Oreochromis niloticus: one gene and its partners. The protein of the gene in region 3 purifies or fractionates together with the protein of the main gene of each other region. This does not show direct contact. Links are inferred from orthologs where the notes say so. Each region holds a gene or a part of one and is shown on either strand. Other genes may lie near its edges. The genes, in order: pnn, gsk3ba, epb41l3b and clns1a.

What was found.
Region 1: the proteins of epb41l3b (region 3) and pnn purify together in Homo sapiens (co-immunoprecipitation; 3 studies listed by BioGRID and IntAct, with this or other methods). This does not show direct contact. The link is inferred for Oreochromis niloticus from reciprocal best matches to the Homo sapiens genes EPB41L3 and PNN.
Region 2: the proteins of epb41l3b (region 3) and gsk3ba purify together in Homo sapiens (affinity purification with mass spectrometry; 4 studies listed by BioGRID and IntAct, with this or other methods). This does not show direct contact. The link is inferred for Oreochromis niloticus from reciprocal best matches to the Homo sapiens genes EPB41L3 and GSK3B.
Region 4: the proteins of epb41l3b (region 3) and clns1a purify together in Homo sapiens (affinity purification with mass spectrometry; 3 studies listed by BioGRID and IntAct, with this or other methods). This does not show direct contact. The link is inferred for Oreochromis niloticus from reciprocal best matches to the Homo sapiens genes EPB41L3 and CLNS1A.

Annotation. Positions count from the first base shown.
Region 1 is NC_031983.2:25,169,268-25,176,708, reverse strand, and holds the start of pnn (pinin), read left to right. Parts: upstream 1-4,005; 5' UTR 4,006-4,050; coding exon 4,051-4,163; intron 4,164-4,576; coding exon 4,577-4,657; intron 4,658-5,720; coding exon 5,721-5,792; intron 5,793-6,136; coding exon 6,137-6,212; intron 6,213-6,327; coding exon 6,328-6,422; intron 6,423-6,569; coding exon 6,570-6,645; intron 6,646-6,779; coding exon 6,780-6,935; intron 6,936-7,214; coding exon 7,215-7,353; intron 7,354-7,441. UniProt on the Homo sapiens protein: Transcriptional activator binding to the E-box 1 core sequence of the E-cadherin promoter gene; the core-binding sequence is 5'CAGGTG-3'. Capable of reversing CTBP1-mediated transcription repression.
Region 2 is NC_031987.2:19,718,864-19,726,298, reverse strand, and holds the start of gsk3ba (glycogen synthase kinase-3 beta), read right to left. Parts: upstream 3,132-7,435; 5' UTR 2,115-3,131; coding exon 2,027-2,114; intron 1-2,026. Other genes in the region: gpr156 (probable G-protein coupled receptor 156), read right to left, coding at 6,980-7,435. UniProt on the Homo sapiens protein: Constitutively active protein kinase that acts as a negative regulator in the hormonal control of glucose homeostasis, Wnt signaling and regulation of transcription factors and microtubules, by phosphorylating and inactivating glycogen synthase (GYS1 or GYS2), EIF2B, CTNNB1/beta-catenin, APC, AXIN1, DPYSL2/CRMP2, JUN, NFATC1/NFATC, MAPT/TAU and MACF1.
Region 3 is NC_031982.2:24,529,339-24,537,885, reverse strand, and holds the start of epb41l3b (band 4.1-like protein 3b), read right to left. Parts: upstream 3,478-8,547; 5' UTR 3,230-3,477; intron 1-3,229. Other genes in the region: tmem200cb (transmembrane protein 200C), read right to left, coding at 6,195-7,748. UniProt on the Homo sapiens protein: Tumor suppressor that inhibits cell proliferation and promotes apoptosis. Modulates the activity of protein arginine N-methyltransferases, including PRMT3 and PRMT5.
Region 4 is NC_031979.2:35,680,414-35,688,391, reverse strand, and holds the start of clns1a (methylosome subunit pICln), read left to right. Parts: upstream 1-4,761; 5' UTR 4,762-5,053; coding exon 5,054-5,172; intron 5,173-6,082; coding exon 6,083-6,219; intron 6,220-6,382; coding exon 6,383-6,523; intron 6,524-6,641; coding exon 6,642-6,752; intron 6,753-7,643; coding exon 7,644-7,649; intron 7,650-7,978. UniProt on the Homo sapiens protein: Involved in both the assembly of spliceosomal snRNPs and the methylation of Sm proteins.

The DNA of each region.
Region 1 (7,441 bases), on a different chromosome or scaffold from region 3:
GAGCCAAACCTCCTAATTAGCCAGGCAGGCAGGCCTGCTGCCCAGTCCAGCAATACAACTATGCAAGAGGAATGCATATAATCCACACTCACCCTCTTTTTCTTTTTTCTTTTCCTCCTATTTTTATATTTGGTTTTTCTCACTGTCATACAATAGAAGCGAAGATGTAAACTAATAAGAACTTGCAATGACAATACTTGGCCTTATGATGATTTCTGAAATCTTATCGTTTAGTTTTAAGATCTTTTTGATTCTGGTCAGCCAGCCCAGCGACAGCAGCGGTGACGGCGGGCTCACTCTTGGTCTCTGTGAGACTGGCTAGATGGCCCCAGTTTTATCGTGGTACGAATGTTGTGCATTTGTTTAAAATCAGGACAGTTTGCAATAACAGCAGTCTTACTAGTGGCCACAAAGGGGGCACAAGCAGTGCTGACGGCGCCCGGCTGCATCTTTAGAAAAACCATAGAGGAAGAAATATAAACTATATAGATATCTAAACTCACACAGTGCATATTTGTATAGGTATCAACACTGCATTACCGTGGTATACTCTTATGCAACACATGTCCGGGTTCAATTTATGAACATGAAGTATACTCTGAAGTCACGCAGACTTTGTAAATCAGAAGCTCTGTTGTTGTGTGTTTTTTGCAGAAATGGTTTTACCATCGTTAATGTTGAATATTCTGAGCGTAACGTTCCTGTGCGACTGTGTCGGTTAACGTGAGCACATAGCACCAGGTTATTACCTCCTTTCTGTAAGCAGGGAACCAGACTGAACCCAGAACACAGCTGGACAGACTTCAGGTACCACAGAGCATATTTCAGAAACAAAAACTTCCAAATCTGTTCTGCACAGAGCTTTAAAAGCGAGTCAGTGCTGTAACTCACCTGAGCTATGTCAAACAGACCAAGGTGTGATTAAAAGAATGGCTTGTGGATTTTTAAGACCAAGCAAAACCGAGTTTTACCCTCAATGTCTATAAGAAAAGGCACATAAAAGTGATATTTGAACTCATCCCAGCTGTTTTTTGGATTAGTCTGCAGGGAAAGAGTCCTCTGGAAGTAAGAGGACAGATTTTATCATTGAACAGTGTTGATCCATGGCTCTGTGGTGAAGAAAAGGGAGGACATGTTATAAACCTCCATGTAAAACCTCTGACCTGACAGATGGCATACACTTGAGGGGTCAACCTGACGAATGTTGATTTGAATTATTGTGGAATGAATGCTTCTCTTCTTTTAGTCAGTGAATAAAAACAATAAAATGTCACTTGCTTCGTTTGTCTTTTTTTTTTTTTTTTTTCTTTTTTTTTTTTTCCTTAAATCCATTTAAAAACTGGCATTGGAAAGAAGTCGTCTGTCGTTCTGCAATCTCCAATCATCAAACCAAACCAGACCATTATTGTGCATGAATGTCAAGTAGACCCAAAACTAACTCGGTCACAATTAGTCTGCAGGGACATTACATGACCCACTGGTTTCCCGTGTGTCTTTAAGTAGCCTATTGTGTCTTTTTCACACCTCCACACCCGTTAGTGCAAAAAAACAATAACTGCTCCTCATGACCTTTGGGTTGTTTTTTTTTTTTTGTTGTTGTTGTTGTTTGTTTTTTTTGAATGGGTTCAACTCACCAAATTTTAAATGACATTTCTCAGTTATTAACCATTTCCACGCCTACAATGGACATAAGCATTAGAAAAGATTCCTGAGATGATGAAAAAGACGACTTGGTCTTGCCTTTTCTTTTAAGGTCACCCATTTAATGCAATAATCAAAGCTGTTAACCCACCTCAATGGTTTTGTTATCTATCTGATGTGGCTCAGTCGAGTGGGTAAGTGAGAAAGTGCCACTGAAGAATTTGATGAAATAATCAAATGTAAAGAAAATGTTAAACTGCCCCACCCACCCCCACCAGAAAATTCCTCATCTTTACTTGTTAAGTCCCTCCCCACCGAACAACGATATTACACAATGTTATTTTGCCATTTCTTTGTTTACTCAGAGGAAGTCCCTGCAGCGCACCACGGGGACTTCCTTTGAGTAAACAGCATAAAGCACTTGCAAATGGATCTATGGAAGCCCAGAGATGTAAAACATAAGACAAGAAAAACGTGTCTCTCCTTTTTAGCTCTTCTGCAAAATCCTGCTCCAAAAAATATTTCACAGGTTAAAATATTCCCCTGTGATGATTTCAATATCCTTCTGCTCCTGCTCTCCTGCTTCCACATTACTGATTTCACACCAGCCTGTCACCACAGACTTGCTTTTTATCTGCTCAAAAATGTCTTCCAACAATAATTTTAATCATAGTTTGAAGACGCCAATGTCAGAAATGAAACGGGCAAGAAAATGCCCCTCATGTCAGTATACACTCACCTACCACTTCATTAGGTACACCTCTTTAAACACAACTATCTTACCTGAACGTAATTCAACCCATTTGGATACGTAGACATGGTCAAAACAACGTGCTGAACTTCAAACCGAGATTCAGAATGTAGAAGAAAGGTGATATACGTGGTTTTACAACCCACGCATGCACAAGAGCCTCTCTGAAGGCACAGCACATTAAACCTTGAAGCATATGAACTACAGCAGGAGAAGACCACATCAAGCGGCCCTACTGTAAGCTAAGAAAGTGGAGCCATAATTCAGTTTTAGTAATATGTTGGAATAAATGTTTTATGGGTTGCCTTTCCCAACTGTAATGTACTATTATGCATCACAAATTGCTAAAAAGCAGTCTGCTAACAGTAAAGTTAATTAAAAAGCTTTTTAATTAATGGACAGGAATAACTGTTTTGCACTAATGCTGCAGGTCTCAGACAAAGAGCTCGTTCTCATCTGGATAATGAGACAAGGAGATTATCATTGTGGCATTTCACAATTAAGCTGAAACAACAACACATTTTTTTCCCAACCAACAGTCAGAGGAGTGGGTTTTAGAAGGCTGGGTTCTCTGTTGTGTAATTAAATGCATGATGACATCAGTGTTATTGGACTGGTAGTAGAATGATATGAAAGAATCATCAGCAGAATTGTAGCGCACACTGTTAAAAGCCAGGAAATCAGCTGTGGTTTGATGCTTGGTTTCCACTTTGATATGCAAGAGCTGCAACAGCGGGACTCAGAAGGGTTTTATTTTCAATCCGGGGCTCGCAGCTCGGAGCCGGCTTCCTCAGTTACTGATAGAGATCAAAAGAGGCAGGCAGGCACCCTGAATCTGGCTGTCAGGAGAAGAAAGAGTGTCTGTACTCAGGAGGAGTGAAATAAAAGAACACTTTCTTCATTCCTGTCCTTAATCCAGTCTCGAGAGTATCGTCTGTATCTTTTAAACCTCTCATGAAGCTTTAGTAAAAACAGATACAAATCAGATGTTTTAAGTCTAAATTTATTCTGCTGATGCTAACTTGAGAAGTAAATCCTCTTGCTCTATGCAAATTGTGATACATTTCTTCTGGTTTAATTCCTTTGTGACTTCTGAGGATTCACAGATATTTTGTGCCTTCTTACAACATTTCACATATAGCACTTTTCACCACCTGGAAAGGGTCTTAATTTATTGTCTTCTACAGAAGTAAGAGGCTATAACACTGAACCATGTGTCTTCTTATGAAATTAGATAATACGCTTTTCATTTAGTTGACTCTCAGAGAAGATATAGGTGCACTGTTGGCTGAAATAGCACACACTGTGATATGTGATCAGTCCTGCAGTGGTGAATAATCCGCTGCTTCTTGCCTTCAGTTGCTTCCTTGTACTTTAGTGTGTGTGTTGTACTGTTCTGTCAACATTTTTACTTTGAATTTAGTTTGATCAACTTTAAAGACCCTTCTAAGGCTGGGAAAATTAATTTTATTTCAGATACACGCAAACACACCTTTCACCCCCGATTTTAGAACCAATACATACACGTTAGTAAGCATTATCCATCCCTGACCAGAGGGTGGCGGTGATGCGTTGATAAAGAGACAGGATGCAAAGGAAGAAGAGTCTAGAAGTAGAAGAAGAGGACGAACACGTGATTCGCGCTAACTGGAAGCAAGATGGCGGTGGCAGTGCGGAGTTTGCAAGACCAGCTAGAAAAAGCCAAGGAAAGTTTGAAGCATGTGGACGATAATATTCGTAAACTGACCGGACGTGATCCTAATGAATCAAGGTAAAAAGCTTAACTGGTTATTTAGTTTTTTAGCGAGTTCCTGGAGTGAAGCTGAAGAGCTGTACTCAGTCGACGTGTGCTAAGTTAGCGTGGGTCGGCTAACCTGCAAACAGCACCGCCTCCTTGTTTTGTGTCGCACATATAATGTTTTTACCATCTTAATTTATTCGCATCAAACGAATAAAAATTAACCAAATTGGTAACTTCTTAAAATATTGAATTGGAACATTAAATCTGGTAGATGAACAGAGTCGAGGCCCTGCAGGAGGCGTCGTCCGGGCGGCACATCACTTTGTCTTGCTTAATAATAAAACGGTTCTGCAGCAACACAAACGCATAATGTTAAAGTGAGTCTTATTTGTCAGACTGTATTCTTTCTTTTGTGTTAACCTCGGTGTCCCCTGTGCTTGCAGGCCGGGTCAGATCCGTCGGCTTGGCGGCCCCATGGCAGGCCCTGGAGGAGGAGGTAGAGGCAGAGGAATAAACCTGCTCAGGTAAATCTTTGCGCTCCCCATCTCGGAAAAAAAGAGCTTTAGATTTTCAACTTTAGTGGGTGATCTGAAAAGTATATACAACAGTACCCCCCCCCCCCCCCCCCCCCCCCTTCCCCAATCACACATCTTCCACAATCTATTCAATGTGAGACTTGGCGTCACGTCACTTCTTAAATAAGCCTTGTTGTGAAGGTTTGAACTGGGTTGTTGCTGGTTACAGAATGCAAGGCGTAGTTTATGACCATTTGCACAATAGCGCACTTATAATCATATTGATTTCATCAGTTAGACGTTAAAAGGGGGAATTGTTGTGCTTTTTTTCATATTAATAGCCACGGGGAAGTTAATTATCAGAAGCAGAAACTATGTAACTTTCACTAAGTAAGTAGCTTGGTTTACAAAGTGTAATGGACTGAGAAGCTGCCCCATTTTGTGTTATAATTTGCTTTGGGGTTTGTTTGGTTTTTTTTGTGAACCATCCACATCTACTATAGCCAAGAACAAAAACATGGAGTTGAGGATAAATGTTAATCACATTTGTCTGATGTTTTTATGATTCAGTCTGTAAAGGAAGCACTGTTGAAACACATTTTCTGTTTCAGTTAAATGTTCAAAGAGGGTTTGAAAATGGTTGTTTTTTGTCTTGATGCATGCTCAATCATCCAAGTAATTAAATCCCAGGAAGTTGATTGTTCATCAGGGCGTTGTTTTTAGTGGGCAAAACTTTTGGCTGCTCATTCAAGTGACTTAATATGCAAAGTGCTATGACCACTTAAGGACAATGAAACTGACCTCACGACCCATTGTTGGTCCTTAACGGTAGTTTCGGTCATTATGCAAATAAACTGTTTAAAAGGTTGGGGAAACCTAGGGTCAGCTCAGTCTGAGCTCAGTCACTTGGATGAGTGAAGCATTTCTGACTGAAAACAACACGTCCAGATGAACGGAATCAGCTTTCTTGGAGTTTCTTTGCGTCTCTCCAAAAAAAGGTAGAATAAATTATTTAAACCGCAAAAAATTCAGTCTGTGCATCTCTAAAGTTTTCCTCTTTGTCCTTTCTCAGACGCAGTCTCTCAGACATGGGAAGCGGCGGCCCTCCTGCCAAGCAAAGGGACATCGAAGGAGCCCTGCTAAGGTGAGATCTCGACTTGAAATATAATATAGTGATTGGGTAGTTTCTAGTTTTGGAGCTTGTGTAACACATTTTACCTGAAACCCTTCATTAATATTAAGATTATTTAACAAGTATAAGAAAATATGTTTCTTGTTGGGGGGGGGTGTTATGTAGACTAAAACAAGTTTTCTAGAGTAAATTGTATCAGACTGAAAGTACAACAGCATTTCTGCACATGTAAGGCATTAATTGAATGAATTCTCAGCTTTCTGTACTTTTTTTTTTTTTTTTTTTTTTTTTTTCCCTCCTTGTCTTGATTTCAAAGTACCATCTCTTATGAGTATTTGATCTTTGTGTGGCTGCAGGCTGGCAGGGGACCAGAGGGCCAGGAGGGACATGCGTCACGACAGCGACGCTGAGGATGACGATGATGTCAAAAAGGTAATTTTGTCAAAAATACTTGATCAGTATTTGCTGCCTCACAGTGGGTTTTTTTTTTTTTTTCTGCTTTGAAGTGATAAAAATCCTAACAATTTGCTTCTTGTCCTTCCTTCAGCCGGCGTTGCAGTCGTCTGTAGTAGCTACCTCCAAAGAGAGAACGCGCCGAGATCTCATTCAGGACCAAACCATGGATGAGAGGGGCAAACAGAGGTAGCTCTTAAACTCTAGATTTACATTCAGATTTGATTACTAAATAGTCTGAGCCATGATCAGTTTAATTTCATCTGGCAAATGGCAAAACGTGTCTACAGCTGAGAATTAAGTGTGTGATGGTGGTGTTTGTATTGTCTTGGTCAGGAATCGGCGCATGTTCGGCCTGCTCATGGGGACCCTACAGAAATTCAAGCAGGAGTCAAATGTCTCTTCAGAAAAGGTGAGGAATAGATTCATCTTTTGCTTGGTTATGAGAGCAGTATTTTTGAAAATATAGGTTTCTGTGTTGATGAGGTCATAAATTCCATGATTTTTTTCTTGTTCTGCTTCATATTTCTGTTTGTCATCCTGCAGCAAAAGCGACGTTCTGAGATTGAGCAGAAGCTCGAGGTTCAGGCTGAGGCTGAGAGAAAGAAGGTGGAGAATGAAAAGAGGGAGCTGTTTGAAGAGAGGAGAGCCAAGCAGACAGAGCTGAGACTTCTGGAGCAGAAAGTGGAATTGGCTCAATTGGTAAGACAGTGTATTTGTTTGAAAGTGGGACTAGCATGAAAGTGGCTGAGTTTTGTTTATTTTTAATGAAACTGGACTTACTGATTCGGCCAAACTAAAATGTCTATTTCATTTATCACTGTTTAATTTTCACACCAAATTGTAACTTGATAAACATCTAATTTAATACTTAGTCTTTTAAAGCCTATTTTTGTAGCTAGAATGATGGGAAATGTAAAATCAATTTGAGAAAAAGGTGAAATTGATTTTTTTTTTTTTTTTTTTTTCCTCCATCCAAAGCAAGAGGAGTGGACCAGCCACAATAATCGCCTGGTGAAATACATTCGCACAAAGACCAAGCCTCATATCTTCTACCTGCCTGGAAAAATGTGCTCCGCAACACAAAAACTCCTCGATGAATCCACCAAGAAACTAAATGGTCAGTGGGACTTTTATTTCTGGAGTGCACTGACAGTGTTGTGGCGGTGTTATATACTCACAGGGGGTCTGTCTACTAAATAACATGA
Region 2 (7,435 bases), on a different chromosome or scaffold from region 3:
AACAAGTCTAGGTAGATTCCAGCTAAGTGACATAGTCCAAAGTACAGTTTTGATACAACTGAAACTGCGTACCACATACTTCTGTGTGGCAGATCCTACCTTAGATTAAAACAATAACTAAAAAGAAATGTAAATTATATGTAGCTGCTTGTTACAAGAAAAAATAAAACTCAGTGATTAAGCACAATCGACAATGAAGATTTGCTATCATCCTTGATCGTTAAAGATTGGGAACTTAATAATGTTCTGTTTGGGTGCTTGGATGCTGCTACCAACAATGTGTTGCTAAGAGGCCCTCTGCATATATATCCACTGACCTTTACAATTGCTGGTTTCCTTCCCGTTTATAAAAGTCTAAATGAATATAACCCACCATTTTCACCAATGTTTTACTAATGTCCACGCCCAGAATCTGCGATGTACAGAAGGCCCTGAAGCTGCCAGAGCTGCTTACTTTGGTGGAAATTACTTTGGGAAGGGTTGGTTCCATGAAATGCTTCACAGACTGAAATTTTACAATAGGGGACATCTGAGCAATCAGCCACTCTACTTTCCTCCATGGAGATGAACACCACCTGCTGTTAGACATCAGATTATCAAACACCTATTTAATTGAGCAACTAGAGGTTCAGCTTATTATTTTAGTTGATAATAACGTACTGAGTCACCAGATGAGTCTCTATGAGAGAAAAAGAAATCAAGTTGAGGATCCAAAACTTTTGTCTGAAAAAATTAATTCTCACATTTAGCAGACCTGACCTATACATGCATCTGGGGCAAGACAAGAATTAGACTTGGGTTTGGAGTGTGTGTGTCACAGTGCACTAATCGGTTTCCAACACCAAGGCCCAGACATGAGCCTGAGCCTCAGGCCTCACCCGACTGACATACATCATGCTCACATCACAGCCCTTAAGGCTCCGTCAGCATTCCTTAACAGGTACGTGCCCCCAAACCCCACTCCACCCCACCCACACCCATCTGTGTGTCAGATAAGACAGGGGTGTAACTAGGAAATGTGCACGTGTCCATCTACGACAGTCGATACTCATTAATAGTAAGGATGCCATACTTCTAAATTAATTTCAATGAAACGACTTTTAGTGTTAATTTGATGTTATTTCATCTGAGTGAGCTCTAACTGGGCCATTAAATATAACCAGTACAGCAGTAGTATCTTCAGCATATAGACAGAGCGAATGGGAGCGAGTGCGCCTTGCCTTGAGATCGTTGTGGTGATGGATAGACTAGACGAAAGAGAGGCGTCTAGCACCAACATTGCCAGCCCCCCACCCCGCCACTTGCTCAGCTGACAGGCCTAGTCAGTCGCATGGCTTCCTCTCTGCAGCCAGTCTATAAGCGGTCTCCGGCACCGTGCCACCGTGGCTTCATGAACAGGATACTCGATGTCACACTCCCTCCGGTCGTCGCGACACGGCCCGTGGAAGTAGTGGAAACAGGGCTAATAAACCACCCCCCTTAGGATCGCGTCAGTTTCGCCCGACTCAACTACGGGCGCACCTTCCGCTCTGACGGTTGCGTAATAGACCGGACCTATCGCTTTAACTCCATTACGCATGTGATTGGTGCTGTGTGGCAATATCTCTACGCGATCTAGTCTACATTCAAATGGACAATAATCAGGCCGGATCTGCGGTGGAAGAAGGAGGCTTGGTTTTGACCTGGGCCTGTGCCAACACTACCTTCCTATGGCCCGGCCCGGCCCTTCCCGGCGCGGCCTGCTAACCCTGCTCCGGCTGACCGGCCCGGGGCGGCGCGACAGAGCGCGTAACGCTGTGTGCCCACACCGGGGCGAGCAGCAGTGTGTGCCGCTCAGCAGCCTCCAGTCTCGCTCTGTGACACACATATATGACAGAGATAAGCTTCCCGGAGCTAACCGTATGCTAACTTGACACATTTCCAGCCTAGTTAGTGAGAGGACACTTAAGCGAGCATATGCAGCCCACAGTGGGCCTGGTGCGTGCAGGAAAAGTCTGCCACTCTAGAATTACACGGGAGTACTTACTGCTGACTTTCATGCTGCCGAAAGCTGAAGGCTGCGGCACTGGCTTGCAGCTCTCTGCGAAGGATGTGGTCCTGGGCCGACCCGACATGATCCGACGATCCCTTTGATTCTCTCGACTGTGACTTGCTTAAACGGCGGAGCTGATCGATTCGCCGAACCTTCTCATCAAAAATAAAAAATAATAATAAAAAAAAATCCAAAAAAGGGGGGTTGGGGGGGTGACAGTAAATTAATATCACTGTAATTCTCAGGGAGGTCAGCTAGAAAGAGATCCCCTTATCCCAGGATCCTTCACACTACTTTGTATCGCCACTAAATGACCCTTTTCTTTTCCACCGACGGTCGATCAGAGCATCGTTTCCTCCTTATGCTCCAGGTTTTCTTTCAGCGGGCCTTTGAAGACACGTATCCGACTAAAATAGTCATGAATCTGGCCTCTCCCTGTGGCCCCACGGTTAAAAACCAGCGGTAATTTCTTTCGGGGTGCGGAATCGTTTTCACGGAGATGAAGAAGGGTTAGTTCAGATGCTGATCCGGTGCGGATCGGTGACAAATGCGGCGTTTTCTTAACGATTCGGAACACATGCAGTTCCACTTCATATCCCGATGTGGAGGCTCAATGATCCGACTGCCATGGCGGCTCCCTCGCTATACCCTAGCCTACAGACGGTCCAACGGAAAATCTGCCAGCTGCTACAGTCTTCTTCAGCAAATTCACTAGCCGTACGCCGACTCTAAATCCAGCCTTGCCTCGGTTAAATTTCGGTGTCTTTGCCGAGACCCCAGGCCGGTGAGCTCCTCAGAAAATACTGGTCTTTCAGCACAGAGTCCAACGATACGGAATTTCTTTTTTTATTCCTTCCCCATAGGTTTCAGGCTCGCAGTCTTTGTCGCTGCGCATGGTAGGTACGCCGTTTCCGCAAATTGTTCGAGGGATCGCTCCGGCGTCACGGAAAGACGTTCACGCTGCTGACGTAACTCGCGAGGGAGAATAGGAAAACTGTGAACGCGCGCACGGCGAATCTGGGGTGGCCGATTGAGCCAATCAGAGAGGGAATCCTTCAAAAACGGGCGGTGACCATTTTCCCGCCGTCCAATAAAAACGCCGCTCTCGAGCACCACATGGCATAATTTGCTCGGCACCGCCCTCGCGACTTCAAAGGCTTTTTTCCTGTGCCGCGTCGGGGACAAGGGGCGGGCCCGCTCCCGGGATGGATGACTTCTTCCACCAATGGAGAGCCGAAGCCGGGCTGTCAGTTCAAATGGACCCAGCTGTCACGGACACGGAGCACCGGTGGTCATGCAGCACTGTTGCTATGTTAGATACAAAAGCCTCTTCTTTATCGCTCCCCAACACTTTTTACCTCACGCGGCCCTCGGGCACATCCTTTTAATTAGTGTCATCCTGCTTAGTAATGTAATAATGTGCGCGTGCACGCGTCTCACCCTTCTATTGTAACCTTATCTTGCATGTTTGGCATCGTACCTCCTGATTTCACATTTAAACTGCTGTCTCTTTTGTGTGTTTGTAAGATGCCAGACAAACAAAGCTTTTGCTATTATTTATTTAATAAATATGGCGTCGTACCTAATGGATCAGTTGGCTCTGAAGATTCCTTTGACTGATGTTTTTTTTCACTTAATTTTTGGTGATATTTTGATGTATATAGTTTCTAAAAGGAGAATAACAGGTAAAACCTTCAGCTTGCAATCTCCTCTGTGGAATCAGCTCCCAGTTTGAGGAGGCAGATACCTTCTTTACTCTTAAGATTAGGCTTAAAACTCTCCCTTTTTCTATTAAGCTTATAGGTAGGGCTAGATCAGGTGACCCCGAACCATGTCTTGATTATGATGCAATATTGCTGGGGGACTTGCTAAGATGCAATGAGCATTTCTTCTCCTCTTATCGCTTTATGCTACAGCTGCATTTACATACCACTACAGCATGGCATTAACTTTTTTCTTCTCTCTGCCATTGTGTTTTGTCCTTGTCTCTCCATGATCTTCTTTCTCTGTTCTCTTTCCTCTTACCCTTGAGAGGGCTGTATTGTCAACTGACATAATGTATGAACGATTTTCATTAATAATAGTGAAGCTGCAAGGAGCAGAGATAGTGAAGGTGGATTAGTTTAACTACACTGGGTCAAAAATCCAAAGCAACGGACAGTGCACAAGAGAGGTGAAGAAGAGAGTGCAGGCAGGGTGGACTGGGTGGAGACGAGTGTCAGGGGTGATTTGTGACAAAAGCAGCATGAGTGAAAGGGAAGGTTTACAAGATGATAGCTGATGGTAGGTTTGGAGACAAAGTTAGAGAGACAAGGATGAGAGCACTTGCAGAGGAGGGATAATAGATATATTTTAAAGATGGAGCTGCGAGGCTGGAGGAAAAAGAGGAAGATCACAGAGAAGGTTCATGGCTGTGGTGACAGAGGACATGCAGAGGGCTGGTGTGAGGAGGAGGATATAGGGATAGCGTGAGAATGAGGCAGATGATCCACCGTGGCGACCCCTAAAGGATCAAAGAAGAAGAATGAGGTGTTAATAAATGAATGTTGTATCACTGAGTCAAAAAGATTTAAAATAATCTAGAACTGTAATTTATTACTGATCTATAAAGCAGTTATTGTTAACAAACTACCAAAAAGGTTGGAAATGGTGCAGTTTATGTTTGTCTGGTGATGTAAAATCGCTGAAGGTGTATCTTGTTCTTTTCTGCAAATGCATGTGAGTGTCACTAACTGTACTGAACTCTAATTATATGTGTGCTGCATTTCCTGAAATGGCAATAAAATATATTATATGCAGAATGCAGAAAGGGCAGGAAAGTCTTTCCCTGTTCACAGTGATACAGTTGCTAGTGTATCTTTTATGCAGGGGTGTGTGTATGTGTATGTGTGTCTGTGTGTGTTTTATTCTCCGTATCAAAGGGAGTTTCTCCCAGGCTGGCCTTCAATGGTTCATATGCAGAACAGAGAGCGGCAGCATCTTAAAAGCAGGCAGCTGAGCAGAAGTAACACAAGACACTGTTTTGCCTTCATAGCAACACCTCCCCCGGCAAACACACATTTCCCCATTAGTGGAGGGATAAAATACGAGAAAGACAGAGAGTAGATAGCAGAAGGGAGTGGAAGTGAAGGGCAAGTCATAAAAGAGACATGAAAGATAAAAGGGAGAAAAGGCTTTTGTCTGTGTTTCGGGAAAATCCATGAAAATGTGGTGAAATCATGAAATCATGGTGGAGATTAAAGTGATGTAGAGCCTGGCAAATGTTTTAACTCAGGGAAAATGTTGCATTTAACATGGAAATCATATAAAGGTGAGGTTTAGTATTTAACATCACGTCAGCACTCACATTCACAGAATGCACATTGTAAATTCAAACTCAGATTCAGCAAAGGAGCATAACAACATTTTAAGGAATGTTTATAATAAAAGAAACATAAAGTAATTTTGGGCACCAAAACATCAACAAATAAATACAGAAATAAATACAGAATTGCACAATTGATAATAGAGCGCACATTTGTTCTGTGAAAACCTTTTATGTTGCATCTGTTTATGTCATTTTTCACTATTGTGTCTCTTCTGTCAGTATATTTTGAGAACTTATATGAGTTGACTAATAAAGCACCTGTCTACAGTTCTGTGCAAAAGTCCTGATTTTTTCAGTTCATAATATTTTGCTGGGAAAAAATGAAATAGGTGCAAACATAAATAGAAATACAGTATATAAGGAAAGAAACATAGTTTGTACAAGTACGACGGCCTTTATTCTTTAACACATGCTGGACTCTCTTAGGCAAGCTTTCTTGTAATTTCTTTAAGTAGTCTTCAGTAATAGTTCTCCAGGCTTCTTGAAGGACAAAAGTAACTCTTCTTTGGAGTTTTCTTGTTCATTCTCTGTTTAGATGATCTCTCATTGCTTCAGTAATGTTGATGTCTGGGCTCTGGGGAGACCAATCCTTGACCGATAGTGTTGCATTGTGTGCATTTCTATCCAGCTATGTTTGTACTGCTTTGGCAGTATGTTCGGGATCATCGAAAAATGAAGTCATTGCCAATCAAAAGCTTCCAGGTGGTATTATATAGTGGATCAAAGGCTGATGGTACTTTTCTGCATTTATCATTCTGTAGGCACTCACTGTTGCACCTCTCTCCTGATCTCCCACATATATGTTGAGGAAAACTTAAACTATGATTCATAAGAAATATCTTGGGCTGATAGCACTTTGAGAATCAATTTGTTGGTGCAAAAACTGTTTTATATCTGTCAAAATGTGTTATCTTTGGCATTTTTTTTATGGATTAAAGAAGTGGAAACAAATTGTGCATTTTGGAACGGCTGCTAGTAACAAAGTGCCTAAACATACAATTTAAAATATTTTTTTTGATAAGTTGTCTGTTATCATTGTCATCAAACACTTTTTATGTTTGAATTATTCAAAGGTAAGTGTTAAAAAGATTAACAAAAAACAAACACAGAAAAAGAACATTCCTCTGGAAATGGTGAGGCCCAAGGACTCGTGTAAAAATGAATGAAAAAGCAGCCAATGTCCAAAAGCGAATGTCCTTCAGAACCACTTAAAGAATTAAAAGAAACTAAATATAAATAAATGAGTAACTCAAGGCTTTTGCACAGTACTGTAAGTGTCAAAGGTTTTCATCAGACAGTAGAAATAGTAATCCAAATAATACAAATAATGCCACAAGGAACTATAAAAGTAAACAGCATCATGTGTTTTTAAGCTACAAAAGTTTTAGTCTTATAAATCAGTCACTGTGACCCATGGTGCAACACAGAAAAACACCAATCTCTGGAATGTAAAGTTCCTATACTGTAAGCTACTGTCAAATGTCCCTCCATCACAGAAATACATCAGTTTTAGCAACCTTTCTGAGGATATTCATTCAAGTTGTGGAACTGGATAAATGTGTAAAGTGCAGTAAACGTGTTCATACGAAGGTGGGTTTGAGGTCTTCTTTGAATACCACAGGGCGTGGGGAGCGGTAGAGGCTCAAGTAGTCATCATACTCGCTGTCAGAGGAGTCTGAGGAGCTGTCTGAGTACAGGAGGGAGCCTCGCTGCAGGCAGGAGTCACAGTAAGGACGGTGGTAGTAGCAGTAATCTGTTGAGCTGCTGGAGTCTGAGTCCGAATACCCACAGGAGTCTCGAATGTGTCTACGGTGCTGCTCGTTATCACCGCCTGCTCCCACATCCTCTGGAGCTTTACGGTTTTGTTCTTCACAATGCAAGACCGAACATCTCGGGAGCCTTGAAACACACCTCTGACATGTTCTCATTACTTCATGCACTTTTCCGTCCTCCTCCTCCTTTCCCTCTTCAAGGTCACTGTTGTGATGTGGGATACAGTTATCATCCACAGTAATATCTTCTGGACTTTGGAGCGC
Region 3 (8,547 bases):
AGCAGACAATCCTACTGAGCCACAGCAAACCCTCGGTCATTTTAAATATATACGTATCACATGTAAACTCACAATTTTTGTATTAGAATTCAATCTTATACGTTTTAAAATTGTGGCTCACTATTCAAAAGCACCCAAGTTTCACTAGGACTGCAAAAAATAGATTGATTTGAAACACTCAGTTCAAAAGCATATATTGCTTTCCACAAAGACAATGTAATAGGAGTTGTTAAAATCCAGCATGCGCACCATGGGAAAGTTGTGGCTTTAATGTAATAACTCTGCTGGTTTAACCATTTCATTCCAATTAAAGTGCACAGACAATACTCCAACCTTTGCCTTACTTATCTATGAATCGTCATAACAACAAGGGTTTGCTGACTGTTCCTTTTAACCTTTAACCTCTTACTTCTGAGTCACACACTTAGCCCTTCCACAGGTTTTCATACAGCAGCACAATGAGTCACAGCAACAAAGAGCAGCAAAAATAATATATTCTCCTGCAGTCCAAACCTAGTGCTATTGATCATGTACTAAACTGACAGCAGCATTGATGTAAATTCCTAAGATGAATAGGCAGAGGTAGGATTTATCAGCAGCAACATTACATCAAAACAACAGTAGGAAATCTGTCTTTGTGTAGCTCTTAAAGCCTTAGATGTGTGACATGAATGATTCTTTTTAAGCCACAACGAAGAGATTTTATCTGGTTTTGCCTGTATATAGTGTAGAGGCAGCTAACAAAGTAAAAAAAACAAAATAAAATTTAATACAACTTATAGAAAATCCTTTGATTCTCAAAAGGCTATACGTGCAACATGGGGAACTCTAAAGGACTACTCCATTATAACATCCCCCTATCCTCAGACTTAATATCTCGTGAACTATGCATGCTTGAAAAAAAAAAAAAATACAGCGTTGGAGTTTTTGTCAGAATTTGGAATTTCCCAGCTGCTTGCCTGTAATTACAACCTTCCCATGTTCCACTGGTCCAACTTGGAAAAAAAAATCAACAAGCAACATGGACACCCAAAAACATTTAAATAGCCTTTTCCATGTTCCAGCTGTGTCACATAAATCACTGCAGCTAAGACAATGTTTTACTGGCTAATCTGTAAGTGCAGCTTGCCATTTTCAATTTACAGTGTACCTTTTCCAGAAAGAGCTGGAGGAAGAGCATGCCGGAAAACTCTTGTTTGGAGTTAATGCCTTGCCTTAAGTGGAATTCATCCTTTAAACGTGTCCTGAAAACTTTCCTCTCCTAATAGTTTTATTAGGTTTGGCATGATTATGCACATTTTTTGCCAAAGTTAGAAAAGATCAGCTGTTTCAAAAGGTGGACATGTCTGGATTTTTCTAGATGGTGATCTTTTCAAAGTAGTGGTCAACACAAACTTACAAATTCCCGGTGAAGAAGCAAATTACCAGAGATTTTGTGGATTAAACTTTTCATAAATATTACTTATTTTACCTGCTTTGAATATTTAAACTGGCTGTATTATTATCATCATAGGAATGTATGAAATAACAATGCAGCAGTGAGAGAGATGCTTTTAGCAAATGATTGAAGGAGTTTTATCACCCAAAGCTCGCTGAGGCTTTATTTGCCTTTGCAGAATGCAAACTGTTTACTTATCCTGAAAGGAATGTTAGCGTTAAAGTAGCTTTGCTTGGGCACCATCTGCAGCTGGATATAAAGACAGCCATTTCATCCAGCAGTTGGTAGAGACCAAAAACAGTGCTGAAAGGAGTCGAACAGGCCTTATACTCTCCAATTCTTTGGTGATGCATAACAAGAAAACGAACATCTCCACGCAGTCACGACAAACTTGCTGGTTGGCTGATGGCAAATTTTATGTTACTCAGAAGCTCACATATTTGTGTACACAGAAAATGTAACACCAGCGTAAATGATCCACTGTAACTGCTGGGTATGTAAAACAACTGTTAGCTAATAAGTAAAAAAAAAAACAAACCCAAAAACAAACAAACAATATGCTAACTTGACCCCAAGCAACCAAAACAACAAAATATATACTACTGAAGTACAATAATAATAATCATAATCATAATAATAATGAAAGAAAAGAATTCATATCAGTTAATGGGTTAAAAAAAAATCAGCTAAAATGTGTTTTTATTAGAAGGGTTAAAAAAACAAAACTATAAAAAAAACCCAACCATTCTTTGCGGTCCAAGTTGTCCTTAACGACAACTCTAACACATCAGTGAAAGAGACAAAATTACATAACTCTACTTCCTCTGGTATGACAGAGAGTGAGAACATTTTGGTCAGTCCAAGCCAGCTCATGGGGTACAAGAAATGTTAAGCCTCAGCAAAATGCTACCAATCATCCGCAGAAACATCAAAGACTGCACACACAAGCAAATGAACAAGACAAGTCCCACGGACTTTGGCCGGTGTTATCTCCTCAGTCCTGTACATTCAACCTCATCATTTGACTTCATAAAACTGGTGAAATTACTCAAGCGCAAATGGTCAGATGGCACTATAAAATGCACTGTCCCATATTAAAATACATACATATCGAAAAGATTAAATATCAAATAAAAATTCATTGCAGCCATATGGACCTCCCTATTAACAATGCCATGAGATGAATGTTCATTTTAGTGCACATGAAAGAGACTATTATAACAGAAACGTCTTCCTTCTTTGATTCATTCACATCTCTATTTCAAGGAGAGGAAACACATGCTGTGACAACTTCCCCTTTCCGAATAGCCTGTCTGTGCCCAGCAAACATTTAATCAGGTGTGTGTGTGTGCGTGTGTGTGTGTGCGTGTCAAAGAAAACAAGTAGTGCTTCCTCAGCAGTTATGAGAAGAAACGAGTTAAGAAATAGCCTGAGAAAAAATGCTGATGAGGAGATTATAGACGCATTCAGCAGATTGTAAAAGACTTGAGTCAAAAGTGTCACACAGAACTTAGATTTATCGAGGGCTTTGTATTTGTATCGGGAAGAAATGGATCTGACTTGTTTTCACTTTTAAACAGCTGTTACACGAAGTTTCTCAACGCTCCGTCACGTTAGATTTTCAAAATAAAGCGAGGTAAAGTATTGATCGCGTCTGTTTGGCCCTTTACTCTGCAGTATAAAGTGTGAAGAGGCTGCCGCTTGAAATGTATTCTGTTCTAACTCCAAATTATTCCCTGTGCTTGTCTCTTTGTGTGTTTCACATTGTTGCCCATAAACATTCGTACTCACCGTTTGAAATGTAACAGATCGCCGGGAAAGCAGCAGGTCACGTTGTGGTGGAAAGCCCGGTGAATGCAACGGAAAAAAGACATGAAAAATGAAACAGAACATTACTAAGATATGTCACACGACGAGAATAACCCTTTAGAAATATTAACAACCACATATAACATCCTAAAGCTGCCCTAATTACAAACAGAAAACCCCGACTTAAGTTTGCTCATGCTCATATAGTGACAGCCTGTTTTTCGACACACAAACTAAACAACAGTGTAAACACAAGCGAGCACTTTACCTGAGTGTTCAGCGAGGGGACACAAACTCCCCAAACGCCAGCTGTTGGTCAGGGAGCGCTACGAAGACCAGGAATCCCCTGCGTGGGTCTCGTCCGGGTGAAAGGGATCACACACCTGTGAGCGCCAAATTTGGCAAACCTTCCCAGAGACGGAGCGAGCTGACCCCGCCCCCTCCTGCCTCTAAAAAGAAATCGGCCCCGTAGTGCTCTTAAACGGGCACGCCCACGACTCAACCAGCATAGACCCAGTGCCACCTGCTGGTCGCTTTTATTTTTGTACTTCTTCTTCTTCTTCTGTTTTTTCAAACATCACATGACCACTAGATGGCCACGTTAGGCTGAGCTCCGCTGGCTACTCTCGTGAATAGTCTGCAAACTTCAAAGTGGACTTTTTGTCTGATCCTGTAGGAACTGTTAACAATATGCAGGACTTGGAAGATGAGTGCTGTGAAACAGTCGTGAAGTACCCCTTATTTCTTTTTATTTAACTAAGAAAATAAGAATAGTCACAGGAATTTATTGAAACGGATGGAAGCATACATAGAAATGTGCATAAGGCAAAAACAGAGTCTGTGTACTTCAAATGAGCTTGAAAGTCAACATTTTGCTATAGCTACCTTTACTCTTCAACACAGCCTGAACTCTGAACTGTCTGTTTCTGTAAGTATACTTAAGGAATTGTTCTCCAGGCTTGTTGAAGGACTGTTGGTTGACATTTGATCCCACACTGCTTCAGTAATGTTGAGGTCCGGGCTTTGGGGAGGCCAATGCATGACTGATAGTGTTCACTCGTGCTTTTACTGCACTGGCAGTGTGTTTGGGATCATCATCATGCTGAAAAAACAAAAAACAAAGCCGTTGCTAATCGGACACTTGTCAGATGGTATTGCATGGTAGATTCAAAATCTGATGGCACTTTTATGAACGACCTTCATAAAGCCTGGAGAACTGTTGCTCAAGATCTCTTAAAAAATACAAGAAAGTATTTTAGAAGCAAAATGTAAAGAAAAGGGCCTGGCTCAATAATTTTGTGCAGCACTGTATATACAGTGAGGTGGCAGTGGTGCAATATGCATTTACAGCAGTACAAGGCATGCATTTATCTCACATAAGTAATTATATTAAAAAATATAAGGCTGGCTATAGAGTAAGACTATTGTATTTTATGTGCACAGCTTAAAGGTGTAACTATAACTGCAGTGAGGTTAAAAAGTACAATAGTACAGTAGCATATTATGATGAAGTCATGTAGACATATGATAAACTCTATGTATAAATTGCCACAAAACAGGAGTATTGATGCACTTAGGATAACTGAATACTACTTGTTTGGGTTTTTTTGTGCTAATCATACAAGTTGTACCTTTATGGAAAAATCTGTTTGAGTAAATGGAGAAACAGTAATAAATGCACTTGCCTGCATACAAGGGATTGTTGAATGATTAGCATCTATCTGCCAGATCTCAGTTGAACATGATTTTTTAAGAGATTTTTTTTTAGCATTTTGAGACCTTATTTGACAATACAGTAGGAGAGGTCGTGCGGAAATGACACACAGGAAACTATCTGATCTAGACTTGTGCTCAGGCCCCTATGCAGCAGCCTTTGACCTCCGGGTCACCTGCTCAACCAGGTGAGTTATTGGGGACTGACAGTTATGACAGTCTTCACTATTATCAATAAACGCCCAGTTTATTTTCCCCCGTTTAATTTGTCGCCCATTTGAGCAGATACTCACTCAGCTGTTAACTTCCCTTTGTAATAGTGAAGACAATTATTAAGAAGACTGTTGTAAAGGTCACTTATAGGTCACTGGTCTCGGTTCAGCTGGCAGAGATAATAAAACATCAATACCACTGCAGTGTTTCCCAGTAATGAGAAGTACGGCTAAAGTCCAGGGGAAAAAAATCCATACAGTCTCCACGTTTGCCACACAATCAATCATAGTCCGACTTCCAGTTTTTTAATCCTTTTAATTTTTCTTAATGCAAGTGAAACTATTTGGAGCAAACAAGCCATTTTGCATTCGTGGCATTTAATCTAATATCACACAAAGACATCTATTAGACCCAATGGAGGTGTTACAGTCAAATTTATTAAACCATGAATGCTTCATATAAACAAGTGTGTGCACATAGGGAAGACCTTGTCCTCAAGGTCCCGATCCTAAGCCAGACATCTACCTGAGATTCAGTTCAGTTCACCTATTCACGTGGTATTCACATAACAATGCAGAGAAGCAAATCTAGACTATTTAAATATCTGTGGCATATGTTAATGCTACAGTACGACATGTTGGACAGTAGTTCAGAGTGAAAGTTTTGGCAATTCTACAAGCTACAATGTTTGCCTTACTCTTATACAAAAGAAAAAAAAACCTCATCTGATCAAATTTCTTTTTTTTTTTTTTTTTTACAAACCATTTCTAAATCTCCTTACAAGTCTTTAGTATTGCTCTTGCTACATTGAAAAAATAGAAAAATTACATCTGAATTTTGAACTGTTGGTCTGGTGTATTTATAAAGAGTCTTGCTCTTGAGTATTCATGGCTATGTTTCAATAGTCCTTAGTTGCTTACTCTCCGTGTTTCCTTTCCTCTCTAATGGCCAGCTTCACCCATTAGCAATCACGTAAGAGGGTGCGAAGCAAATAACAAGACATCAAAGAGTTTTAAGAGGCCTAGGATTCTCCAGAGGTGCTCGGTGTCGCCAAATTGTCCTGTCCCTGAGCTTCTTCCTCCGCTGCTGCTGCATCCATTGCTACTTCCTGTTTAGGGGCCACCAAAGAAGTGTCTGCGTCGGGGGCTTCAAAGGATTCGCCCCCCAGGTCATTCAGTTTTATGTAGCCCTTGCTGTTGGAGTGCTCCAGACGGGGGTAGCTGAACCGCCTGGCTCTGTCACCTTGACGACATCCAGACACAGACAGGCTGCAGCGGCGTGCTGGCCTGGGCTGATCCGTGAGAGAGTTGAGCGACAGCCGTGACCCCATCGCCCTGGCAACAGGAGACGGTGGAAACAGCTGAGGCCTCTGCGGTTGAGGCTGAGACTGCGGCACCCCCTGTTGGATACCTGTGTCGGTGTCCTCGTGGCTCCGGTGAGGAGGAGGAGAGTCCATGATCGAAGCCTCCTTCTGCTTACCGTACATCACATCTCTCTGGCTGCTGCTGCTGCTGGCTTGTCCCTCCTCACTTATGTTTTCAGCAGCAGCTTCTATAACAACCTCCTCCTTTGAGCATCCCTCTGCCTCTGCTTTCTCCCCCACCTCACAGTTGTTCAGTTTGATTACTGGCAGGGTAAAAGCGTTCACAGAAGAGGTGACGATGGAAGTGGTTTCCCACTGTCGGGGCTGAGGTGCCTGCTCACTGCTATTGCTGTAGTCTTTATAGATGCTGTAGACAGTCTCTGTGAAGGTCTGCACATCTTTGGACAAGCTACGAGGCCTACTGACCAATGAGGAGCGTCTGAATACCTCCTCGCCATCTACCTCACCTTTGAAAGTGATTCCAGTGGAGGGCCAGGAACTGCGAGTAAGCATCCCACTTGTTGGAAATGAACCCGATGGCCCTTCTGCACTCTTTGACTGGGTGTAATTCACCATGCCGTTCAGAGGTGAGTACTCCTTTGATCGTATACTGTGCAGATCTATCACTGTGGAGTAGATATCCCTCAGGTTTATGATTTTAGTTTTCTTGTCGCGGTTTTCATGGAGGACGGCGTTAGCACAAATGAAGAGAAAGATACCAATTCCCATCACAAGTGGTCCGAAGACTTTCAGGTTGTCTGAATACAAATAATTATCCAGGAAGTCACAGAAAAAGCCACAGTGACGGGACGGGCTAGAAACACTGGTGTTAGAATGACTCTGGTTGAACAGATTTGATTGGCCAGAGGAAGGCTCACCACGGGTCAGGTTGGAGGAAATCTGAGGACTTTTGGAATAGCTCATCCTGCTGGTGTGGAATCCCCCGGTTCTGCGGCGCTCCTGGTATTCCTGCTGGTTCTGGCTGGGCCAGTAGCCCAGTACAGCCATGGAAATCCCAACCATAAGAACTATAATTCCAACAGCGGCCACCAAACCAGCCGGGGAGCAGAGATTGAGTTTCCCCTTCACCACCACCACATCGTTCTTCTTCTTTTTCTTGGATTTCCGCTTCCGTTTGTTCTCTGCTCGGTTTTTGGATCGGAGCGAATCCTGGCGCCTGTTCATGCGCAGCAGGCCACCCGTGGCTATCATGGTGGCGACTAGACCACAGGCTTGTCACTCAGTCTGTGAGAACACAAAACAAAAGAGAGAGAAGATAAGCCTGAGGAGAGAGCATGTTTACTGCATACTGCAATACACAAGTCAGATCCCAGTAAATTCAAATGATAAGAGTCTTAGCATTTATCTAGTTTCACTTTTAAAAAAAAATGTAAATGCTAACATGTGAAGGTTAGTTTAGAAGAAAGGTGTAAAGCATGGTGAGAAGTTCATTCTTTGGTGAGCTTTAGAAAACCTGGCAGAGGGATTTCATTACTACTGGATACAATAAGTTGCCTGTTTCAGATCTTTTGCTCAAGCTGTGTATCTGCTGTACAGACATGATTTTTTTTTTTCATCAAATTCTGGTCAAGAATTTCTTTAAGGCGTAAAAAGATATCAGAGGAGGAATACTAGTAAGATATTAGCAACAAAATCTGTCCAAGGAGGACCTAAAGGAAGCCCATGGCTAATTTTCGTGGTCTACCAGTGATTTAATCCAGCCCTGAATCTCAGATTACGCAACAGGTTTATTTAGCCTGCTTCTTTGCACTAATCCGACTAAAGGCAGAGGCAAATATTAGTCATCAGAAGGAGTCTAAATAAAAGATAGTATACATCTGCTGCTGCTGGATCTACAAACCTGAAGACGTAAGCAAAAGACAGACAAAAACCCAAGTTGACAGCGTAGAACAAGAAGTGCTTGTTATCTATATTCAGCTGTGCCGGTGCGATATCAGCCTATGAAAATGTAATGTGTCCAGACAGGAGGCCAGCAGGCATGTTCTCTCCA
Region 4 (7,978 bases), on a different chromosome or scaffold from region 3:
GGTTTGGAGGAAGTGGGAAATGGGCTCGAAGACTTATGAAGAAGTCGGTCAAAACTACTCGCTGGTGCTTCCATTGCTAATGTTAAATGATTCAGGTTGGTACACCTGTGGAGGTCAAACCATAAAACAATGGTATAAACTTTTGGTGTGCCCCAAATTTGGTCCACCTGCAGTAGAGGTCTTCTCAGAGGGAGATGATGTCAATCTCACATGTACTACTGAAAGAAAACTGGGTATGAAGCCCTGGTGGTTTATGAAATCGATAAAAAGAGAAGGTAAAATCATTGAATTTACTGAGATTATTGAAAATCAAATCAGAATCCTTCTTTCCAACGACAGCCTGATAATGTCTAATGTCTCACTGGAAGATGCAGGAGAGTATTGGTGTACAGTTTTAGAGTCAGAGATTGAGTGTGTGTCAGCAGAAAAAACAGTTCTGATCCACAGAGAGCCCTTTGGGGTTTACTCGACCTTCTACAGAGTCAGGTGGATACTGCTCAGCGGTCTGCAGGTGATGCTTTGTGTTGTTGTGGTCTGTGTGATACAGAAAACCAGGAGAGGAGAGCGGCTTTCAGCTCAGACACACACTTAATATGCTTATCAGCATTTATAATGGTAATAATGATAACAACATTATTATTATAAGTAATCATAATAGTGTTAATATTAATACAGGGACCTAGGATTGATGAAACAAAAACAAAAACAAAAACAAACAAAAGTATTATTGTAGATATGAATCTGTGACCTGACTGGACAGCTCGCTCTCTTATCTGATTATATATTTTAAACATTTTGCCTTTTTAATTTTTCGACTTAATTCTTATTTTTTTGTACTCATTTTTATTTCACCTAGAATGATTATGTGCTTTTTTGTTTCATGTGATTTGTTTTTTATCCATATGTCATTCATGTATCTCTCAGAGTATCATTGTGAATATTCTTCTGTTTCTATCAGTGATCAGTTCGATCTATAATAAATGTTAGAAACCAGTTGTAAATGTATTCGTTCTTCACTCTGATGTGAATCATTATCATCTCTCTTGGAAAATGTATTTTGTTATTGTGTTTAAGAGCAGATTCATTACAGCACCATGTTTATCTGCACTATATTGTTTTCATTGTTGTGAATCATTTATATTTGCATTTCAAATTGTTGTGATGCAGCAGACTGGAAACATGATTGTCTGATACAGCAAACACTTCATAATATGGACTTTACTGCTTTCACTGTGTTTTTATATTCTCCATTTTTGTTAGGAATCATTTCTGAAATAAAAATATCAAAATCTAATTTAACAGGCTGAATGTTGATGCTCTTCTGTCAATGACTCCATGATGATTTTTAATTTTAATAAACACACAATCCTCATATTTCAGTGCAGGATTTAATAAACTGGATCAGAGCTCCCAAACTTTATTTTCAAGCAAATAATCAGGATTTTGAGTTAATATGCAGCCAACACGCTTTAACATGTCTCTGATGTAGAGTGAAACATGTTACAGAGCTGTTATATCATTTATTAATATGGTGATTGTTTCAGAGGGAAATGTCAGTCTGACTTTGTTCATTTCATCTTATTTTTGAGAAATGATCAAACGAAAGGTTTTAAGGAATGTCGTCCTGCTTTTCTTTAATGTGCACTGATAAGTTAGTGTAAATCATGCAGATAAAAGAAGGATGAAGGACATGAAAATAAAATGCACTGTCGATCACATAATATCACCAACATCAATCAGTGAAAAACATTTACAGTGAAGCACGAGCCTGACTGATTTTAGGATAAAAGTTGAGGTGGAACTGTAATCGTGGCCTCAGTCCTGCTGTGGGTGTTCAAAACAAGAACATTGCGGGAGAGCCAATCACTTTTCATACATTCTCAGAAAGTCACATGAACAGTAAAAGATTACATCTGACACACTGAATGCTGATAAGTGAATACTGAGAATTTAGAAGGAAATGTTTTTAACTTGTTCCAGATAGTCTCATTGAAACTGTCACACTAATCTTTGTACTCTCTCAAACTCAGAAAAACTCAAGAAATCTAATTTTTTTCATAATTTAAACATTTTCTCCAATTCGTAAGTGCTATGTAAATCATTAGGGTCTAGGTGTTATTGTCCTTAGTGGGTAGCTCTGTGGTCTCACAGTAAGAGGATCCTGGGATCAAACCTGGTCAGAACTCTGTGAGGGGTTTGGATGTTTTCTTAAGGAGCTCCAATTTCTACAGTCACCAAAAACAGTTCAGGCTAAGAGAACCATTACACCCACTGCACTGGTCGCTTCACACACCAGCAATAACATCATAACAGCCACGTGCATTTATATACACTGCTAAGGTGTTTTTGACACAGTGGCAAACAGCAAAACATTCAGAGGTTCACTGATACCGAAATAAGACTAACGTGTGGCTTGTGCCAATGGATTTAACATCACTTTTGTCCTTTCTTATCCTCGCCAGAGCAAGAACACCAAGGATCATGGCTCCATGATGTCACCGATCTGGGTTCAGGACCTTAAAGAAGTTGTTACTCTAAAGCGATTGTTAATCTGATTAGTTCTCTCCTGGTTTGAGGAGAGAGATGAGAAACAACAAACTGGATATCACATTTATCTTCCCCTCACACCCCTGGGAGGCTGATGTGTGTCCCACAGGATCTAAGTCCAGTTGTTCTCTACCACCTCCAACAGTGAAGCACAGCTGGAGTTGAGGACTTGTAATCGACATGTGACACAGATGTTCCTGTACACTACCCCAGTCGTCTGTGCATCTCAGTGTACAGGTACGCCCACATAGAATGACCACCCCCAGATAGCTACCAGCGAACTGCCAGCCAGTTTCCACCTGTTGGCCGTTCCTCCTCCTGGGGTGTTTGGGCTTTCTACACTCCCCTTTCATTCAGTTACAGAGTGGCACCAAGAGGTGGCGCTTTCTTCACAAAAACTGAAAATGTCAAATAGACCAAACTTTACAGTCAGCTTGACTTTTCAGACATTTTTCACTGCACTAAAAGTATTCCTGGAAAACATTCTTTCATTTTAATTTAAACCAATTATTAATTAAAGTAAATTATTAATTAAATAAATAAATGGAAAAAGGCAACCATTGATAAAAACGTCCTCATACTCTAAGCTCAAAAGCAGATGTGAAGGTAAAATCTGATATTTGTACAACTTTCATGTTTCATTTACTGTTTGCTTCAGTGTTACTTGTTCAGACTTCTGTTTCATCTCTAAATATAATTTATATTTTTCCATCAGATTACAGCTCCTTTGTTCTCTCATTTTAATTTTAGTAGTTTTTCAAGTGGTTGTTCAAAAAACACCTGAGGCATTGACAACATTTTTAGGTAAATAGTTGTATGAACTTTATTGTTTATAACATTTGTGCCTAGGTTTTTTTTTGTTTTTTTTTAAATTTACAATTCATTTTTGCATTTCAAGCTGTGAAAATAATTCTGTAGATATGTTTGTGGTTTTTACATTACAAAACCAAAAACAATGACAGCCTTTTTCTACTCATTTTTTATGTTTTTGTGTGATTTCAGATCAGTTGTGTTAATACAGTATGCCAATAAATTCAGACATGTGAGATTGTGCTGAAAAGGTTGATACCAAACAAGGCAAGGCAAGAATAAAAAATGTAAAAACAATTTAAAGGTGATGAAATACAAAAGTAAAATCAAAAGTAGCCAAAAATGGCCAATTATGGCCATTAATAAAAATATCAAAATCTAATTTAACAGGCTGAATGTTGATGCTCTTCTATCAATGATTCCATGATGATTTTTAATTTTAATAAACACACAATCCCCATATTTCACTGCAGGATTTAATTAACCGGATCAGAGCTCCCAAACTTCGATGTCAAATGAGTAATCAGTGTGTGTGTGTGTTCTGAGGCAAGATTAGAAAATTGCATAACTGCCTCAGTGCTTGTAAACCTTATAGTCCTTACAAACTCTGTCTTTATTCTGTTTCCAAACAATTTTTCAAGAAACCGATATAATGAGGATCAAACTTATTTGTAATATTTTTGTTCTCCACTCTCTCAATTGACAAAAATACCAACAGAACAAAAACGTTAAATGTGAACACACAAATGAATCATGAAAAATTTCAGTATATTATAAAATAGTTTTGACTCTCAGGTTGAAGATGATCCTGGGATTCAAATCTTGGTGAAAATGAGATCTTTCAGAGCTCTGAAGCTTTGATGTCAAATGACTAATCAGCTGTAAAATGCACATTATATTTGCTAAGCAGCTTCTTATGTGGACCAGTGTAATTGGAGTGTAATCCAAACGTAATGAGTTACTATTTTGAATATTAATGATTCTTTTTTTATTAAGGCAGTGTTTAAATCAGTTACTGAACCTCCTCAGTTAGTCACTCAAATTTGTAACCAGTGAGGAAACCCTTAAGTTAATGTCTTTACCAACAAGTGAAAAAAGGAAAGAAAAAAAATCTTATAAAGTCAGTGGTGTTTACTCAATATGTCCTTTCTTTTTTTATACAGATAATCATTTATTTTTACTTTGTTGATTTGTGCTTGTTTATTTAAAAAATCGTGTTTGTACTGTCTATATGCTCAGTCTTTGTTAGAATGTTTATTTTTTACTCTTTTTTTTGTAAATAATGTAAGAATTTATGTTTCCACATCTTTAGGAATAAAAGATTAGGGAGCAGCTCCATCTCGCGGCAGCTTTTCAAACTGCCAATCTGGAGTGTGTGAATTCTCGTTGGGAGTTTTGTGTTGTCGCGATACTTCAGCGTGACGTCACCCTGAACCAGCACTTTGTAACTCCAGTGTTTTCAGTTTTTGTCACGCCTGTTCTCGCACTCAAAGATTTCCGTCCCGGATCTGCTAATCCAAGGGACGAAGCGTTATAGCACGGCTGCCGTTTTCTCGCCTCCAGCTGTCCGACACTGATTTAGCACTGAGAAGTTACCCCGGGTGAAATTAGCCATCTTTAGCCAGTACAAAATTTATCACGCAGCAGCGCGTTTTCACCGGTTTCTGTTCTTTCCCGTCCCAGCGGACCGAGGACTATGGTGTTACTGAAAAACCTCCAACCTCCCACCGAGGGAGTGAGACACGAACAAGCCGAGACCACGGCGGTGATGGACGGCCAGCGGCTCGGCTGCGGCACCCTCTACGTCGCAGAAACGTAAGTGGTGCACGTGGCGCATGCTTTGCTCTTTGGCTCGTGGGTCTGGGGTTCAGGCTCGTGTTTATTGAGGTTCTTATCGGGCTTTCACGCGCCCTTTATTGGAAATTACACCAGTTTACATTATAGACACAAAAATAAACGTCTGCTCCGTGCGCTGAAATCACTTCCGGAGCACAGTCTTTCAAAATAATACGTTGCAGAACAAAATGTGGATGTCTTCTTTTGAATCCAGTATTAGAAATATGTTTACTTATTATTTATATTACATTTTTTTCTTGTACCTCTCCGTAAACATGATATATTTTGTGTCTGTTTTTGTATACCTTAGACTCTCGGTAATGTTAAAAGGCGGGTTTCTTTTTTCCTTTCTTTCATGTTTATTTTTAAATAAATGTATTTTTTATTTGTATTTTTTTGGAATTTGTTTCTGTGCTATCATTGTATTTCTTTCCTTTTTACATTGTCTTTGCGTTCTTTTTCTTCTTCGTGTTGTTATATTATTTCAGTTATTCAATTCTTAATTTAATTTCTTATTTATTTTTCTTAAGCTAGTAAAAATTTTTGGATAAGCGCAAAACAGCAATAAACTGGGAAGGAAACATTGTGTGCGTAAATTCAGATTTTACAGCTGTGTTATATTTCTCACAGACCCACGCTGTTGCATTACAATTACATACTGTCTCATTACATATTTTTTTACTTTCAGGAAGTAGAAGCAAACAACGTTAAAGTAATTTAGTTGGAATTTTTTAACATTTTTGAAAATATCATTTGATAAATTAATAGTCAGTTGAGACCGTAATTAGTCGTTGCCAGAAAAGTCAGATAATAAGCCTGACAGACATTTAAAAGCATCTAAAAGTTGTTTAGTGCTGTTGTTTAAAGCAGTTTGTTTTCCTTTTATCAGGCGCCTGTCGTGGTTTGACAGCTCAGGCCTGGGTTTCTCTCTGGAGTATCCCTCCATCGGACTGCACGCCATCTCCAGAGACGTCAGCGCTTACCCACAGGAACACCTCTACGTCATGGTCAACGGCAAACTCAACAGTGAGGCGAAGTTTACATCTGAACTTCATATCTCTTTTTACTTGTTTAGGCAGGGGGAGTCCAGTCTTCGGGGTTGTTAAAGCGTGTTTGACCTGTTCTGTACAAATAGTTTCTTTACAGTTTCTGAAGGAGTTTTTGGGTCACTGCTGACTTCTCCTTACAGAAGAGAACGAGGCAGAAATGGCAGAGAAAGCAGCTGATGATGATGATGATGATCATGACGGCAGCAGTGATGGTGGTGACGATGATGAAGACGAAGGGACGATCACAGAGATTCGATTTGTTCCCAGCGACAAAGCGGCATGTGAGTGACCTCGCTGGGGATGAGCAGCAGACATTTCAACATGGCTGCACATCCTGTATAAACAACAGTTGGAGATGGCGCAGCATCACACTTATACCTTTGTGTGCTTTACTTGCAGTGGAGTCCATGTTCTCAGCCATGTGCGAGTGCCAGGCGCTTCACCCCGATCCCGAGGATGACGACTCGGACAACGACTTTGAAGGAGAGGAGTACGACGTGGAGGAAGCCGGTGAGGCAAAACTCAAATGCATAGATGCAGATTTGTCTTTAGCAGACACAAAGAAGACAACAGCTCCCCACATTCCAACAAACAGTGATCTAAATCCTCAAATTAATTCAGAAACACAAAACAGAAACAGAAAATCTTTCCAGAAAAAAACTGAGTTTTCTTTTTAAGCATTTTATTGTATTTGTGAATACAGAATAGAATTGGCTTTGTGTCTAATTGTATTTCTATTGAAGTGATTTTCTTACATCACCAATGGCTGTTCTTGTAAAGTTGATCTGTTCTGCTCATTTCCAACCTAAATTTTTATTCTTGGACACTGAATTATCTTTAAACACATTTCATATTTACTGTATTCCTCCTTCCGACAGCACCAGTTCATCCTCGATCCTCCTTTGTCTGACACAAACTCCTCCCGTTTATCTCCTTTAGCTCCACCCTCCAGAGGAGCTCCACTCCTTTAGCTTCCTTCTGATGGATGGATGGATGGATACTTTATTAATCCCACAAGGGAAATTGTTGTTGATTAGCTTTGTCTTGCAAAGAGACGGTCTGGCTAGCCACATTATGGATGTCCCCATGTTTGAGATTAGACAGATCCAGGTTATAAACCAATCCTCATTAATAAGCGCTTAAAAGCTCATAATGATTACTTGTTAGTATGGTGACCTCGTGATTTGTTATGGTGGCTGTTTTACTCTGAGCACGCACCATTGTAGCTGCATATATGACAGAAAATAAGGATTACCAAATAGTTCCAGTTTAAATAGTTTACTGTAAAGAACATTTGATAAAATACTTCTTTTGTCTGAATGTAAAAGTCTTTTCATTTTTCTCCTTCTGTCTTTTCTCTTTCCCCTTCACGGACTGATGACTCGGACTGTTTGCTTGCAGAGGCTGGTAAGTTTAAATGAGATGAAACACCTTGCTGAGCAGAGTAACTGATGTTTATGGCAGTGCAGTTTGGACAGGTGGAATTAAACACTACTCTTTGTAAATATGTCACTGAAGAAGCAGCAGGACTGAGAATAGATGGTTATCAGCAGCTGAACTTTCAAAATAAGAGTGAGGGGATTGTGCTATCCTGTTGTTAAGTGATGATGCGTGAACCCTGCATCCAGGTCCAAACTGCTGTTGTCTTTTTAAGGTGTCATTTAATCTGAACAAGTCCTTAAAATTAGTCAGTGATCACTGCCTGTCTCTCTGGGTTTTTATTACCACTATTCATC